2 linked regions of the Saccharomyces cerevisiae S288C genome follow. The gene in region 1 interacts genetically with each later gene. Each region holds a gene or a part of one and is shown on either strand. Other genes may lie near its edges.

The links.
Region 2: mutations in THG1 (region 1) and TOH1 together harm fitness less than expected from each alone (positive genetic interaction), as found in Saccharomyces cerevisiae (one large-scale study listed by BioGRID).

What each region holds. Positions count from the first base shown.
Region 1 is NC_001139.9:531,347-534,277, reverse strand, and holds THG1 (tRNA guanylyltransferase), read left to right. Parts: upstream 1-1,681; coding exon 1,682-2,395; downstream 2,396-2,931. Other genes in the region: 40S ribosomal protein eS25 RPS25A, read left to right, coding at 1-146; YGR026W (uncharacterized protein), read right to left, coding at 457-1,293; YGR025W (uncharacterized protein), read right to left, coding at 1,337-1,639. UniProt on the Saccharomyces cerevisiae protein: Acts as a tRNA(His) guanylyltransferase that catalyzes 3'-5' addition of a single guanosine residue to the -1 position of tRNA(His), to form a non-Watson-Crick G(-1):A-73 base pair.
Region 2 is NC_001142.9:99,204-102,818, reverse strand, and holds TOH1 (Toh1p), read left to right. Parts: upstream 1-1,924; coding exon 1,925-3,115; downstream 3,116-3,615. Other genes in the region: histone methyltransferase SET2, read left to right, coding at 1-592; ASG7 (Asg7p), read left to right, coding at 1,040-1,669; CPS1 (Gly-Xaa carboxypeptidase), read right to left, coding at 3,352-3,615. UniProt on the Saccharomyces cerevisiae protein: Probable circularly permuted 1,3-beta-glucanase involved in cell wall modification through beta-1,3-glucan network alterations such as increased branching or remodeling.

The DNA.
Region 1 (2,931 bases):
CTGTCTCTGTTTTGGTCGACAGATTAAAGATTGGTGGTTCTTTAGCTAGAATTGCTTTGAGACACTTGGAAAAGGAAGGTATCATCAAGCCAATCTCCAAGCACTCCAAGCAAGCTATCTACACCAGAGCTACTGCTTCTGAATAAACAGGGAACGGGTTATATAATTTTAAATAATCTGTATTTTCAATAATATTTTTATGTATGTTTATTTGCACGTCACGTTTGTGTTATGGAAGACATCATTCAGGAAGTGATACATACAATAGTCTAAAAAAAAAAGGAACATTAACGGCTGAAAAGTCAGAAATGAGGTATAAAACGGTATTTAAGAGAATTGATTAAATTGTATGTATGCCGTCCATTTCTGTACGAGCGTTAGTGGCCAAAAAAGGTAAGAGGAGAGGAAAATAAGTAAACGAACATGACATCTGGTCATCTTAAGTTAGAGAATTTCTTACGCGTATCTGGCAACTTCTTCTGTTCTCTTTTCGTGCTCCTTCATTTTCATATAAATAAAGTTCTTTATAACCTGCCATTTGTCTCTATATTTTTTGGGGACGTATTTTTCAAACTTGACAAGTAACTCCAAAACAGCCACTTGTGCGTATGGAGAGAAGTTCAACCTCAACCAATAAATACCAACATAAATGACGAGCATAAATCCGGATGTACCCGTCTTAAACAATATAGTGTCTAGTGTTAGCGCTAAGATAACAAGTAATTCAGAGTACGCAAGTAAGTGTAGCATTTTTCTGTCTTTGGGTGTTAAAGGGATCTTTTCTTCTTTGTTAGCATTCAATTCGTAGTTCATTTTAGTTAGGTGTAGATAACTTAAAATCATGTAAGGCAAAATCTTGTAAAAAGACTTACCACCACCAAAGAACCATAAACAGGCAATCAAAAGGGTATGAAAGTTCTCAGAGGACAAAAGGTCATTCCAAGTAGGGTTAAGTCCAACCCAGTTCTGTTGCATTGTGACGGACTCAGACATAAATACGCCAATTAATGACAAACGGTACATTACCTGTGGGCTCCAACTCAAAAGTTTCATGTACCATCTCTTACTTTGAATAAACGAGTAATTTTTATTGACCCTTAAGAACAACCACTTCCAGGAACGATATTTGAAGAAGATTAGGACATGGTAGAAATACGTGATAGAAAATAATAAACCAAAAACTAAAGTTAAAACGTGTCCGATTTTCCAAACTAGTTTTTGTTTTGCTAAAGGATCGGATAGGTTCTTCTTTTTGGGGTCCTTCTTCCTGATAACTTTGATAGTCTTCGCCATTTCCAACGTTGTTGTTTTTTTTCTACAAAATTTTTATATCTTTCTATAATGAATTCTCTCTTTGGGTAACCAAGTTGAATTTAAATTTGGTTCTTGTGTATGTTAGTTTTTTTGAAGAAGCACAGCCAATTGAGTACTTTGACGCCGTGCAAGTGGGTATCCTATAATAAAATGGACATGGTCTTTTTTGGCGTAAGTATCCCTTGTCCTGCACATACGCTTTTTTCGCTCTATATTCTTCAGTTTTACCCGGATTGAAAGTTTTTATTGTTTTAAAAATCACTGATGGAGAATTAATTGAAGACATGCGGATAGAGAAAAACTTAAAGGGCTCATAGCCAGTCATGTGCCTTAATGTTCAAAGATTCTACTTCCTAATGCGAGCGGGATGGCAAACTCTAAATTTGGATACGTAAGGCAATTTGAAACACACGATGTTATTTTGCCTCAGTGTTATATTGTGGTAAGAATAGACGGCAAGAAGTTTCATGAATTTTCCAAGTTCTACGAGTTTGCCAAGCCAAACGATGAAAATGCTTTGAAGTTAATGAATGCATGTGCTAAGAACCTTGTCCTCAAGTACAAAAATGATATTATATTGGCGTTCGGGGAGAGTGACGAATACTCATTTATTTTGAAGTCAAGTACAACTTTATTTAACAGAAGGAAAGACAAGCTTGCGACTTTATTTGGTTCTTTTTTCACGTCCAATTACGTCGCATTATGGGCCAAGTTTTTCCCAGAAAAGCCGTTGAATATCAAGCATTTGCCATATTTCGATTCAAGGTGTGTAGCATACCCTAATTTACAAACGATAAAAGATTATTTATCCTGGAGATATGTCGATACACATATAAACAATCTTTATAATACGACGTTTTGGCAGTTAATAATAAAGTGTGGCTTAACTCCCCAGGAATCCGAGAAGAAACTATGTGGAACATTTAGTAATGAGAAACAGGAAATACTATTTTCTGAATGTGGGATAAACTACAATAATGAACCTGAAATGTTTAAAAAGGGTTCACTAGTAACAAGAAAAGGAGAAATACTTCATATTAACGTCATCGCACAGATAGATGAGTTGTTCGAAGGCTATTAATAACCTTTATATATATATATATATATATATATATATATGTATATCAGATCATCGTTGATTTCTAATGAACTTTCTGCACTTTCCTGTTATTTCCAAAGAACTGGGTTCCTTTATGTTAATATTGGACGATCTTTTAAAAGTTAAAACTAACTCATCGTTTCTTCAGTTTTGCTATCTTATTTTTGTGATGATAAAAAATATCTCCGCGACGGGGAATTGAACCCCGATCTGGCACGCGACAAGCGCCCATTCTGACCATTAAACTATCACGGAAGTAACTCGAGTGTTCGATTTTCAACTAGCAATATATCATATTGTTAGATACTTGCGGAACAAACAAAAATAATTACATTGGGAAAGTCGCTTTTCCATTTGTGGTGACCGCTACCCTTAGGAACAGGAACCTTAAGCTAACAAGGTAATTTCTTAGCTTCCTCTGCATTCTGTCTTGCCTTCTCCAGAGGATCCAAAATGGTGTTCGAAGCTTTTGCAGAGACAATATTTTCAAAAGATGGGCCCAAATTAAGAGTTCCTTT
Region 2 (3,615 bases), on another chromosome or scaffold:
TAAGAAACATAAGCTGAGTGACGAAGAATATGAGAGGAAGAAACAAAAAAGACTGGAATACGAAAGAATTGCGCTAGAAAGAGCCAAACAAGAAGAATTGGAAAGCCTGAAGCAAAAGCTAAAGCTTGAGAATGAAAGAAAAAGCGTTTTGGAGGATATTATAGCGGAGGCCAACAAACAGAAGGAGTTACAAAAGGAAGAGGCCAAAAAACTAGTGGAAGCAAAAGAGGCTAAGCGGTTGAAAAGAAAAACGGTCTCCCAGTCCCAAAGACTAGAGCACAACTGGAATAAATTCTTTGCATCTTTTGTACCCAACTTAATAAAAAAAAACCCACAAAGTAAACAATTTGATCATGAAAACATTAAACAATGTGCTAAAGACATCGTGAAAATCCTAACTACAAAGGAACTTAAAAAAGATTCTTCAAGAGCGCCGCCTGATGACTTAACCAAAGGAAAAAGGCATAAAGTTAAAGAATTCATAAATTCATACATGGATAAGATTATCCTCAAGAAGAAGCAAAAAAAGGCGTTGGCATTATCATCAGCATCAACAAGGATGTCTTCTCCTCCACCTTCAACATCATCATAATTAACCAGACATGCATATTTGGGGCTTGTTTCACGTTTTCTGTCCCAAAGGAAGTCTTGTACTTTAATTGTAATTGCGATTTGTAATAAGTAATTTTTTTTGTCTTTACCGTTTATTTCTTTATACATTTTTGGTGCATATATTTAAATATCCGCATTAGTGGGCTATCAGTAGCACTGTAATGATAGGTAATGTGACACATCTTCTCGACAGATATTATTCTTGAAAAAATCGTGCGTTTCAAGTGTCTTTATTTTTTTGCTGTCAATAGAAGTGTTGAAATGACTTTGAAACGTAATTACCGCATCGGGAAATTTACATGTTAACTGCAATGAAAACAAGGAATATACGGGGAACATATAAAGGGTCAGCGTCGTTGACTAGTCTGTCATTTATATTGTGCTTGTACATAGGACTACAAAAATTCAAAGAATGACGACAAGAAACATGACTACTTTAGCATCAAGTATTGAGCATAAAACAAAACATCTAGCCGCGCCCTTCGAGAACGATGAGAACCCTTGGATGAAAAAATACTGTTGCCAATGCAAATCATGTAAAATGAGTGTGCCTGTCCAACCTTGGCTGCCAAGGTTTTTTGTTTTTGGAATCTTGTGCCCCGTTTTCTGGTTGGTGAATCTTTTAGCCTGGTGGTTCTTACAGTATTGGCAACCACATGAATTGGAATTCCACGACTTGCAAGAAGACGAATACCCAGGATTTTATGAATATGAAGCCATAACTAAAAGAACGGTGATACCCATAAAGGAAGAAGTCCTCCAAGAGATTCGCGTCATGCAGAATTTCAGTGATAGCAACAGCGAAGAATATTACGAGAGCAAAGACGGTATGCCGTCGTCTTTCCTAAACGTGAACACGGAACAAGTCGAGGACGAGAATGACACCTTGAAAAAATATCGTTACGCGTTTTTGAAGAAGGTAGCCCACGATGTGCTGGAGTCGCACGATTTATTACGTAAGACCTTCCGCGACTGGAATTTACGGTCTTTGCTTGGCCTCCTCATCGATTCTATACTCATAATATTTGTAGTTCTCCTATGTAAGAAAAGCCGTTAGGTAGATCTAAAGACAGAAAATGATATCAGCCTCTTTCTTTTCCACAGCCTCCATTTCCCATTTTTGCTGTATCTGCAAGGGTTCCTTTTTCCATTTTTTTTTTTCAAAGTCTTGGCTCCGCCCTTTTCTTTTGTCTATTTTGCCGAGCTTAGGTTATTTATAAACCTGAAAATCCTCGAGAAACAATCCTTATCGAAGGAAGCAGCCATAATAGAACATACTCAAGTGCAAACATTACAAGCTTAAATAAGACAAATGTTACAGAGTATAGTCCTTTCCGTGTGCATGTTTATGTTGCACACAGTCGCTGCCAGTGGACCTCAGTCGTACCAAAAGTTGGATTTCACTAATGTTGGTTTTACAGGCTCCTACGTAGATGTGAATAAGTTTAAAGATATCACCAACAATGAATCGTGTACTTGCGAAGTGGGTGACAGAGTATGGTTTAGTGGTAAGAACGCTCCACTAGCAGACTATTTATCCGTTCATTTCCGTGGACCATTGAAGTTGAAACAATTTGCTTTTTACACATCCCCTGGATTTACCGTCAACAACAGCAGAAGTTCTTCTGATTGGAACCGTCTTGCCTACTATGAGTCCAGTTCCAAAACCGCTGATAACGTTACCTTTCTAAATCATGGAGGTGAAGCTTCCCCTTGTTTAGGAAATGCTTTGTCCTACGCTAGTTCTAACGGTACTGGCAGCGCCAGTGAAGCTACCGTTTTGGCAGATGGCACTTTGATTTCTTCAGATCAAGAATACATAATCTATTCGAATGTCTCATGTCCAAAATCAGGTTATGATAAGGGTTGTGGGGTTTACCGTAGTGGCATTCCAGCTTACTATGGGTACGGAGGTACAACAAAGATGTTTTTGTTTGAATTCGAAATGCCTACTGAAACTGAGAAAAATAGCAGCTCTATTGGGTACTATGACTTGCCTGCTATTTGGTTGCTAAACGATCACATTGCAAGGACTTCTCAATATCCAACCAATGCCAACTGTTCATGTTGGGCTAGTGGATGTGGGGAATACGATATTTTTGAAGCTATGAATGGTACGGAGAAAAACCATCTCTATTCTACTTTCCACACTTTCCAAGGTATCGAGGATTTGGGTACTGGTATCCAATCTTACGGATACATAACAAGAAATACTACTGGAACGATGAAAGGTGGTGTTGTTTTCGATTCTAGTGGAAATGTCGTTTCTTTCATATCTGATGCCACTCCATTCAATGGAACTGTTTCTGCTGATACTGTTAACGATTTATTGGCTGCAATTCCAGAAAACGAAACCTATTCTTCTCAATTGATGAGCATTTCTGCTACTGCGCCTTCGACCACCTCGAAGTCGAATGGTGTTGCTTTAACGAAGATGCAAAACGGTGTATGGTATTATATTTTGGCCATATTCACTGCCTTTACGCAAGTGGTTTTGATTTGATTTAAGTCATTGTATGGTCATATTATCATCATCATTTAAATTTTGATTTGACACTTGATTTGACACTTCTTTTTTTTTTTATTTATGTTTTGTTTAACTGACGGTGTTTTTTTTTTTACGTTATACTGATACATATATAGACGTGATTTATTTAAATAAAAAGTTCTATGAAAAAAAAAAAAAATTAAAAAAAAAAAATTAAAAAAAAAAAATCTTTGACTATTCAATCATTGCGCTTAAGCGTATTCGTTAACATTAACGATATACTCGTAAACAAAGGCAATGGCAGATAAATGACCTGGGACATCCACGTGTTCATTAACCGAATGCAATGTCTTCAGTAAATCAATATCAATGATAGAGCCAACAAACCTATAAATGTTCTTGGACAAATTCCAGTAGTATTTAGTATCGGTGTTACCAGAGAATAAACCAGTAGTCACATAGAACTCTTCGTTGTTTTGTAGAACACCGTTTTCAAAAACATCTTGAATAGTACC